Cricetulus griseus: one gene and its partners. The protein of the gene in region 1 interacts with the protein of each later gene in a biochemical or structural test. Links are inferred from orthologs where the notes say so. Each region holds a gene or a part of one and is shown in the gene's direction. Other genes may lie near its edges.

Region 1 (3,500 bases):
CCTGTAGAAGGCACTGAGACCCGAGTAAATGCTCAGGCTGCTGCATATGAGTACATGGCTGCGTACATAGAAAATGCCAAACAGGTAAAAATATTGTTGCTTAAACTTTTAATAACTCGGGCTGGAGAGATGGCTCAGAGGTTAAGAGCACTGACTGCTCTTCCAGAGGTCCTGAGTTCGGTTCCCAGCAACCACATAACCATCCGTTATGAAATCTGGTACCCTCTTCTGGTGTACAGATATACATGGAAGCAGAATGTTGTATACATAATAAATAAATAAGATCTTTAAAAAAAAACTTTAATAACTCTTAAGAATCTCAAGATTCTGGGTTTCTGAACTTAAAAGTGTCCTTTTCACATTCAATTTCATATTTTAAATTTAACAATTTTATGTAAAATATTAAAAGTCTGGTGAGATTTATAATATAGATAGTGGCAGACAGGGGAGAGGGTGTCTTTCTGAAATAAATTTCCAGTCAGTGTCAGTTGTGTTTAGACAATAGAAGTTAGACTGGAGGTGTAACTGGTGGTGGAGCTCATGTCTGCCTTCCTAAGCCCTGAGTTCAAACAAATGAATGGATTAATGAACTAATAAATAAGAAATTTAGGAATTAATTATTCCTCAGTAGAAACCCAGCTAAATAAATGGCAGGGCATCTATTAATGTACTATGTAGGCAAGCTTGAAAAGAAAAAAAGCTCTTTAGGCAGTGGAAGTGAATGCACTGCCTAAAGTCCTAGCACTTGGGAGGCAGCAGCAGGGAGATCTCTGAGTCAAAGCCAACCTGGTCTACAGAGCAAGTTCTGGGACAACCAGGGCTACACAGGAAACCCTGTCTCAAAAAAAAAAAAAAAAAAAAAAAAAAAAAAAAAAGCAACTATCAGGGCTGGAGAGATGGCTCAGTGGTTAAAAGCAAAGACTGCTCTCCCAGAGGATACAGGTTCAGTTCCCAGCACCTGCCTGGCAGCTCGCAACTGTCCAGTTCTAGAGGGCCCAACACCCTCACCCAGATAAAGATGCAGGAAAAACACCAAAATAAAATAAAAATAAATTAGTTTCTTAAAATAAGCTATCTGGACTCTGATGACACCCTATGGAAGGCCTCACCATCCAGGGGAAACAGAAAGGTTGGAGGAGGTTGGTAGGGGAGGACAGGAGGGAGAGGGAACTGGGATTGTCATGTAAGACAATCTTGTTTCTAATTCAAATAAAATCTGAAAAAAAAATTATATAATACCTCAAAAAAAGCTATCTGTGTATTTACTTACATGGAACAGTTCCAGAATTGTTTGTTCAGTTTAAAATATAGGTAGCTAGGAGTAGAATGTTGTATGTAGTATGCAACTATTTACAGATATGTTTGTTAATCTATAGAATATCTCTGTAAGAGTACGTAAGATAATAGAGGGATAATATCTAAGCTAAGAAACAGGTAGAGGAGGGGGAAGGATATGGGAAAGAGACTAAATACCCTTGTTCTTGTACCTTGATAATTTTACACTGTACACATGTATCATCTATTCAGAAAATCTTTACACGATGTTATCTTTATGTAGTGTTACTACATAAAGCCTGTAAATGACACTTTCTGTGAGATTAAACCATACCTCAAACAAGATTTTTCTTTCATATTTTAGGTTGGACGCCTTGAAAACGCAATTGGCTGGTATCATAGCCACCCTGGTTACGGCTGCTGGCTCTCTGGAATTGATGTTAGTACACAGATGCTTAACCAGCAGTTCCAGGAACCATTTGTGGCTGTGGTGGTAAGTACTTGTTCTTTTTAAAGAAATGGGGTCTCACCAGGCATTGGTGGCACACGCCTTTAATCCCAGCACTCGGGAGGCAGAGGCAGGCAGATCTCTGTGAGTTCAAGGCCAGCCTGGTCTCCAGAGCAAGTGCCAGGATAGGCTCCGAAGCTACACAGAGAAACCCTGTCTCGAAAACCAAAAAGAAAAGAAAAGAAAAAAAGAAATGGGGTCTCTGCTTTTGCAAAGGACCCTGATTTGATTCCTGTCACCCCCCACAGAGGCTGGCAACCATCTGTAACTCCAGTTCAGGGTATTTGATGCCCCTCCTCTATATGCACCACATATGGCTGGTGTCGATGGAGGCCACAAGAGGGCATTGGGTCCCCTAGAACTCCTGGAGTTAGAGGTGGTTGGAGGCCACTATGTGAGTGCTGGGAACCAAACATAGGTCTCTCTGCTAAAGCAGCAAGTACCCCTAACTGCTGAGCTATCTCTCCAGCCCTTCAAAATTTGGTTTTGGATTTAACTTTATTTAATTTTTGTTGTTCTGGGCACAGGTCTCTCTGTTATGCATCTCTGACTGTCCTGGAACTGGATGTGTAGACTAGGCTGGCCTGGAACTCCTGGAGATCCACCTGCCTCTGCCTCCTCAGTGCTGAGATTAAAGGCATACCCACCACACCCGGCTTACTTTGTTTTTGTTTTTGTTTTTTGTTTGTTTTTCAAGACAGGATTTCTCTGTAGGTTTTGGAGACTGTCCTGGAACTTTCTTTGAAGACCAGGCTGGCCTCAAACTCACAGAGAACCTCCTGTCTCTGCCTCCCAAGTGCTAGCATACCCACCACAGCCCAGCTTTTTGTTTTGTTTTGTTTTGTTTTTTATAAAAACAGATTTTATTAAGTTTTTCAAGAATATTTGCTAAAGAAAGACTACTGGAAAATTAAAACAGTGTGGTAAGAATGACTCTCTGGCATCACTGTACTTAAGGATGTTCTTAAGCTCCTTGCATCTCTCACTCCTATAGATGAGGGTAGAACCTTTGTCAGCTTCTCAACACTTAATAGGCATTTAATTAGGGTTGACTGGAGAAGCAGAAATGGCTAGATCCTGTCTACTTTTATGTCCAGAATGTTTTAGATGCAATCTAGGATCTTTAAGAGGAAACTAACAATTATTCATCTATTAAAGGGGTCAGGTAGGGGCAGGTAGTTTCTCAGTTAATTCATTACTTTGATTGATTGATTGATTGATTGATTAATTGACTGATTGGGTTTCTTGTTTGTTTTGGCTTGGTGGTTTTGGTTTTTCAAGACAGGGCTTTTCTCTGTAACCCTGGCTGTCCTGGAACTCACTCTTTAGACCAGGTGGCTGGCCTTGAATTCAGAGATCCACCGCGTCTGCTTCCCAAGTGCTGAGCTTAAAGGCCTGTGCCCAGTTTGTTTTAAAACATGGTCTTGCCAAGTAGCATGAATATCTTAATGATACTAAATAAATATTCTTTGGTGATATGATAACTTAATTCTAATCTATAAATTAACTGAAGTATTCCTATTTCATTGAACTTTCTAATTTTGGTTAGTATATAGTGCTATATTTACTTTGTTGTAGTTTTCTGGGGTGTTGACTCAGTGAGCATATGGTTTGTTTGATCAATATTAAGTATATATCTTTTGTAGATTGACCCAACCAGAACAATATCTGCAGGAAAAGTGAATCTTGGCGCCTTTAGGACATATCCAAAGGTAAT
Region 2 (2,647 bases), on another chromosome or scaffold:
GCAGGGTGGTCTGACAAGCTTCCAGAGCTGTGTGAAATCTCTTCCAGGGAGACAAGTTCCTCCTTTGGCTGCACCTGCCTTCAGTCTTTCTTTTCCCCCAGCCTGAGACTCCTGAGGAAATTCCATTTCCTTGGGAACCATTGTTTCAATAGTCTGGTAGCCAAACGGAGGGACACAAGTGTCTCTTTAGAATATCTTCATTTCTGCCAGAACCGTTATAGAACCTCATATAAACCTTGAAGTCACAAGACAAAACTGTCATTGCCCACACAGCATCCTTTTGACTGGTTGGATTTTTTTTTTTTTTTTTTTTTTTTTTTTTTTTTTAAAGGCAAGCTAGGAAAACACATGGAGACCCAAGATCCCAGTGACATTTCCTGGGCACCTGCCAGATGTCTGGCTTGTTCATGAGAAAGCTATACAAAGTCTACCAAGGGCTTTAATGAGGGTAATTGCTGGGACCTAATTTGAGCAGCACTTCCCTGAGGGCTGACAGTTGCCCAGTTTAGGATTATACCTTAAGGAGGAGCAGAACTGGTACCTTTGGCTCAAAACCAGTTCCTTGTGCCTCCCCTGGAGATCTCCAAGCATCCCCACTTGGTTGGAACAGCAAGGATGCAGGCAAGTAACTGGACGGTGACTCCTTTATGCCTCCTTCCCCATCTACAAGGAAGGACCTACATGAGCAGGATCATAGGTCGTGTGGACACACGTCCTGGGAGGCCCAGGACACACAAAGTCTTAGTTGAAAGTGGCTGTGTTGAAGGTGGCACTGAGCCAGTGGACCGACGTCTGACTGTTGGTACAAAACAGTAAGGAATGGGGCTCGGCCAATTTCACTAGCTTAGAGGAAGTTCCTAAGGCAAGTATTGTTCTTTCTCCAAGCACAAACCATCACGCTTTTGGTTCATTATTTGGAGTTAAATAGAGTCGGTCGGTTCTGGCCCATTGGCAGGCCAGATAAGGCCAACATGACTACCTACAGCACCGATCAAGGGCTGAAGTTTCCTCAGAAACAGAAATTTCTCAGACCTGAACCTGCTCCCGGTGTACCGTTAATCTGCAGCGTCTACCTGAAATGCCTCCACAAACTTAATCCTAGAGTCAAGTCCTTGCTACCTAATTTACTAAATGATACATTCTTCGTTTCTATCCGAGAAAACAAAGAGCAGAAGCACACCAAGCGTAGCAGAAGCACAGTCACGTCCCCGCTTTAGGACGTACCCTGACGCAGGCGGAGGCGGGACGAGGGGAGGAGCCGCAGCCGGTTTGGGGCGGTGCTGAACTAGGTCACGTAGCTCAGGTCCCTGGCTTGGGCCACATCCCGCGTCGCACTGTCCTCTACTCCCCGCTTGCAGTCCCCTCCGCCACCATGCCGATGTTCACCGTGAACACCAACGTTCCCCGCGCCTCCGTGCCAGAGGGGCTTCTCTCCGAGCTCACCCAGCAGCTGGCGCAGGCCACCGGCAAGCCGGCCCAGGTTTGCAGGGAGGGTACAGGAAGAGAGAGAGTGGGGAGGGAGGGCCCGTGCGCCCGGCCGCCGGGCAGAGGAAGAATGGGGATGGGAACCGCGGCGGGCGGCTGGAGGGCTGGAGGCTGGAGCTCCCCGGAGCCCTGTGGCCCCGTGGTCTTTCAGGCGGGCTAACCGCGCGTCCACCCCTCCCCCGCAGTACATCGCAGTGCACGTGGTCCCGGACCAGCTCATGACTTTTAGCGGCTCTAGCGACCCCTGCGCCCTGTGCAGCCTGCATAGTATCGGCAAGATCGGCGGCGCGCAGAACCGCACCTACAGCAAGCTGCTGTGCGGCCTGCTGGCTGATCGCCTGCACATCAGCCCGGACCGGTGCGTGGGGGTGGGGTGGGGTGAGGGGCGCTGGGAGGTGGGCGCGGGGGTCAGAGGGCGCCGCCACGCTCGCCGAGACCGCGTGTTAGGCTGAGCTAGGCTTTCATTCTCGCAGGATCTACATCAATTATTACGACATGAGCGCGGCCAACGTGGGCTGGAACGGCTCCACCTTCGCTTGAGTGCCGGCCTAACTTACCTGCGCCGCCGTTTCTTGGAGCCTTGCTGCACGCAGCGTTCTGTTTTCGTCCACCCCTGGCGACGCCCACCTTCCGATCGGGAGAAATAAATGGTTTAGAGACCACGGTTGCCTCAGTTTCTGCTTCCTTGGCTTGCGGAGGAATTGGTGCAGGGCGGGGACATTGAATGGAAGCCCAGGCTGCGATGGTGGGTCGGAGTTGGCCAGTTTGGCTGTCTCAAAACCAGTGGTCTAGATGTCCTTTCGTCCAGGCTTTCCTATAGTGGCCTTACGTCAAAAAGAGGTTCACTGGGGCCTCAGACCAACAGTCATACAGAACTTCCCAAGCAGTTGTTGCATCCTGAAATAGGTTCTCTGCTCTGGGCGGGAATCCCGAACTGTGTTCTTAATCACAGTGGCAAATGGGACGGCAATGTGCTTTCATGGGAGAGTGAGTTGCTCAGGCAGGAGAAGGGTGGGGATTAAATTGATAGACTCTTTGCCTGTGTTCTTCTCAGGCAAACAGCCCCCGACTCCCCAGTAGTTCCTAGAGAATGCATGAGAATGGAGTACTTTGTCTGTTTTCATGTTTGTTAGGGTAGAAAGGTCCAATGTGATTTACATCT
Region 3 (3,958 bases), on another chromosome or scaffold:
TCGATTCTGCTACCTCCACCTCGAATCCTCCTCCGTCCCAGATCCGGCGGGAAGCACTTGCAACTTTTGAGCAAAGCCTGCTGCCCGCCCCATGCAGCAAACGTTCTTCACCTCAAAGGCAGCCGCAGACCTCCCCCCTCCACCGGTCCCGGACCTATCTGACCCAGCCCCAGAACCCACCCTCGTGGCCACTAAACAAGGATACCGGGCAACCCACCTGCTGTAGGTACTGGTTAATGGTGATGTGCGCCATAGCAGCGGCCGCGGGCGTTAAGCACCTCACTTCCGGCGCAGGTCCGTCTCAGCTCCTTGTCCCTACACTGTATTTCCCGCACGTTTTTGATTCCGGAACCGGTGGCGCAAACTGAACGAAGCTGGCCCGAGCACTCCCCTCCTAGAGCTGTCAGTGCTCGGGGTGCAGTCACTGAGGTGTCTCAGCTCGGGCGGGGGCGTGAGCAAAGGACGGGGGACTGACGTGGAGGAGTTCCAACCGACTTGGGAACGTATCCCCGCGTCCCGATCACGTCCTGTGTCCTAGCGACTCCCCGTGTCTCTCATCCCTTCGATCCTCACTTTGCAGAGACGCTCCCGGCTCGCACACCCTCAAGTGCACAGAACAAAAGTCAACCCCACTTGGGAACACGTCCCCGTGCTCTCCTAGCCCTCGCTGGAGATGTCCCCGAGTCCTCCCACCCCCTCACTGGGGCATCCCAGAGCAACGGGTGTGGAGTATCCGGTTGTCACGGAGCATCCCTGAGCCCTAGGTGTGGGGCTGCCCCAGAGGCAGGGTGGTGGGGTGCTCCTGTTCGCCCACGTCTCCCGGGTGTCCCCAGCCCTCGTCGTGACGTCGAACACCAAGCTCCCGGAACGCTCGGTGCGGGGTGTCACGGCGCCCTCTCGCGAGCATTCGTCGTAGAACGTCCGCGGGTGCCGAACCCTCCAGGCGCGGCCGCGTACGCCGGAGCCCTCACTGGGCGGAGTCCGCGCGCCCGAGCCGGATCATTCCGGTGCGCGCCGCGGCGGTTGGGCCTCGGGCGCGCGGACCGGGCCGCGAGCAGCAGGAGGAGGAGCCGAGCGCTCACGGGCGGAGCCCGACAGGAGGAGGAGGAGCCGGGCGCGCACGGACCGGGCGCAGGGCAGGAGGAGGAGCCGGGCGGCGCGGGGCGGGGCGGCGTCCGGCCCAGCCATGGCGGACGAGGGCCCGCGGAAGGGCAGCGTCTCGGCTCTCATGGGCCGCACCAACGGCCTCACCAAGCCCGCGGCGTTGGCCGGTGGCCCTGCCAAGCCGGGGGGCGCGGGCGGCTCCAGGAAGCTGGTCATCAAGAACTTCCGAGGTGGGTGCGCTCCGGTGAGGAGCGAACGGGGCGTCCGTCAGGTCGCGCGCTCGGACAGGGCCTCCTGGGGCTGCCCAGCCGGCCCTGTCCCCGCGCCCCAGCCCGCCTTGTTCCCGCACTGTCCTGTTCCGGCGCTCCAGCCTGACTTGTCCCCGCACCTCATGCTCCGCCACGTCCCCGCGCCCCAGCTGGCCCTGACCCCGCACCTCCTGGCTGGCTCTGCTGGGCCCTGCCTCGGTGCCCCGGCCTGTCTTGTCCCCGCGCGGCCGTTGACCCTCTCTCCCCACAGACAGGCCGCGGCTGCCTGACAACTACACTCAGGACACGTGGCGGAAGCTTCACGAAGCGGTCAAGGCCATCCAGAGCAGCACATCCATCAGGTACAACCTGGAGGAGCTGTACCAGGTGAGCGGCGGCGAGGGCCTGCGAGCACCTGGCTGTTTTCCTCCTCTCACAGCCACGGTCGCCGCCGATGCTAGGGAGGCCCGCCTGCCGGGGGGGAGGGGGAATGGGGGGAGAGGCTGCGGTCCGAGCCTTCCCTAGAGGAAGCCTCGAAGCCCTCGGTCAGCAGGTGTTTCAGTATATGGTCGCCCTGGATGAGTGCTATGTTGAGGCTTACATCGGGCTGCTTAGGTGTAAGTTTTCCCATCCCCAGGAGAAAGGAGGTGTGGGGGCTGCGAGCCACAGGGCTCCAGTGATCTCCAGTGTTATCAGAACGTTAGATTGTTACACATAAAACTCAGTATGCTAGGAGGATCCTTGTGTCGTCGTCGTCGTCGTCGTCTCTCCCCCCCCCACACACACTGTGGTTTAATTGTTGCAAATAAGGTTTGCAGATTCTGGTAGTTTTAATTTAAAGATAGTGTCTACAGCAGGAAAAAAAAAAAAAGGCCAAAAGTACATCTTGTTTTTTCAGGCAGACTTTTCTGTCGTGGTTTTATACAGTAATGTTCACTAAATAGTCTGTTTTAGGTAATGATATAGCATATATATAATTAATTACACTAAAGTCATGAACTTACCGGTTTGTTTTATCCTGGTTACAAAATGAATTTATGTAAGTTATAGAAAGTACAAAAAGAAAAGTAAGCAGTAGTACCCAAGGGAAATTGTTACAGGTTGAGCACTCCTGATCCAAAACTTCCCCAATCCAAAACTTTTAGCACTCACATGAAAAAAGATCCACGGCTGACCTCGTCTGACTGGACTCAGACAGAACACAATGTATGCTAAAACTGTTGTATAAAATTACTTCAAGCTAGGGCCAGTGAGATGACTCAGTGGGTAAAGCTCTTGCCGAACAAGCTTGGCAACCAGTGGTCGAACCTCAGAACCCTCAGAAAGGTAGAAGAAAACTGACTGCAGAGAGGATGTCCTTTGGCCTCCAGTCAAGCCGTGGCACAAGCACCCACACATAACGCATCATGCACACACACAATGGTAAAAATAAAAAAATAAAAACAGACCTTCAAATTGTGTTCAGGGTATATGAGATATGAATTAATTTTGTGTTTAGACCTGAGTCTCATTCCCCCAAATAAATCATTATGCATATTCAAGTATCAAATCCAGGAGAAAAAAAAAATCTGTAATCCAAAACACTGCTGGTCCCAAGCATTTTGGGTGAGGGGCGACCAACCTGTAGTGATAGAGTGAGGTACATGTGTCCGTTCTTTGTCTTAAGTTTGTGAGTTGATTGTGTATTGAGGGTGAAGGTTTTTTTAAGGTTTTTATTTTGTTTAGACAGGGTCTCACTGTATAGCCCTGGCTGGTCTGGAATTCACTATGTAGATCAGGTGGCCTTGAACTCTCAGAGATCCACCTGCCTTTGCTCCTGAGCTTTGGGATTAGGGCTTCACCTGCCTGACAATGTACTTTTATTATTTTAAGTATGTGGGTATGAAGTTTGGGGGCAGGCCTGGAGGCCAGAAGTATTAGATACCTCTAGAGCCTGGGTGTAAGTGGTTGTGAGCCTCTTGAAATAGGTACTGGGAACCAATCCCAGGTCCTCATGTACTCTAAACCACTGAGCCATCTCTCCAGACCTCTACCCCACTCACTTTGTCTTTGAGTGAGAGTCTTGCTACACAGTGCTGGCTGACTTAGTTACTTGCTATGTATTCCAGCCTATGTATAACTTACAGCAGTCCTCCTGCCTCAGCTTTCCACATGGTTGAATGTGCCACCATGCCCCGATAATTTTTTAATCAGCTTTTTTGAAGTGTAATTTACATATAACTTGTGCTCCAGTAGGTTTTTTTTTTGGGGGGGGAGCGGGGTAAGGGGAATTGACTGGCTTTATTTTTTAAGAGTTTCACTGTGTAGCCCAGGCTGCCCAAACTCAAGGTAATCTTCCTGTGGGGTTACAGGCTTACACTAACATGCTTGTTCCAGTAAATGTTAATGGCCTAATATGCAGTTGTTTTGCCACCCCCGCCCCTGAAAATGTAGACTTTTTCCATCCCTGACAAAGAACTACAGCTCCTTGCAGCCATCCCTTCCCCATCTCCTCCCTTGGCAGCCAGTACTCTGCTCTGGGTTACTCTGCCATTTCTATCTAAAAGGAATCTTGCATTTGCCATCTCTTGTTATCTGGCTTTTATTTGGAATAGTGCTTTGCAGTT

Evidence for each region.
Region 2: the proteins of Cops5 (region 1) and Mif form a complex in vitro, tested with the Homo sapiens proteins (2 studies listed by BioGRID). The link is inferred for Cricetulus griseus from reciprocal best matches to the Homo sapiens genes COPS5 and MIF.
Region 3: of the proteins of Cops5 (region 1) and Cul4a, one has a biochemical effect on the other in vitro, tested with the Homo sapiens proteins (5 studies listed by BioGRID, with this or other methods). The link is inferred for Cricetulus griseus from reciprocal best matches to the Homo sapiens genes COPS5 and CUL4A.

Annotation. Positions count from the first base shown.
Region 1 is NC_048595.1:150,146,014-150,149,513, forward strand, and holds part of Cops5 (COP9 signalosome complex subunit 5), read left to right. Parts: coding exon 1-84; intron 85-1,639; coding exon 1,640-1,768; intron 1,769-3,429; coding exon 3,430-3,495; intron 3,496-3,500. UniProt on the Homo sapiens protein: Probable protease subunit of the COP9 signalosome complex (CSN), a complex involved in various cellular and developmental processes.
Region 2 is NW_023276806.1:262,751,160-262,753,806, forward strand, and holds Mif (macrophage migration inhibitory factor), read left to right. Parts: upstream 1-1,269; 5' UTR 1,270-1,372; coding exon 1,373-1,480; intron 1,481-1,670; coding exon 1,671-1,843; intron 1,844-1,958; coding exon 1,959-2,025; 3' UTR 2,026-2,147; downstream 2,148-2,647.
Region 3 is NW_023276807.1:67,672,686-67,676,643, reverse strand, and holds the start of Cul4a (cullin-4A), read left to right. Parts: upstream 1-1,158; 5' UTR 1,159-1,186; coding exon 1,187-1,334; intron 1,335-1,623; coding exon 1,624-1,739; intron 1,740-3,958. Other genes in the region: Pcid2 (PCI domain-containing protein 2), read right to left, coding at 218-253. UniProt on the Homo sapiens protein: Core component of multiple cullin-RING-based E3 ubiquitin-protein ligase complexes which mediate the ubiquitination of target proteins. As a scaffold protein may contribute to catalysis through positioning of the substrate and the ubiquitin-conjugating enzyme.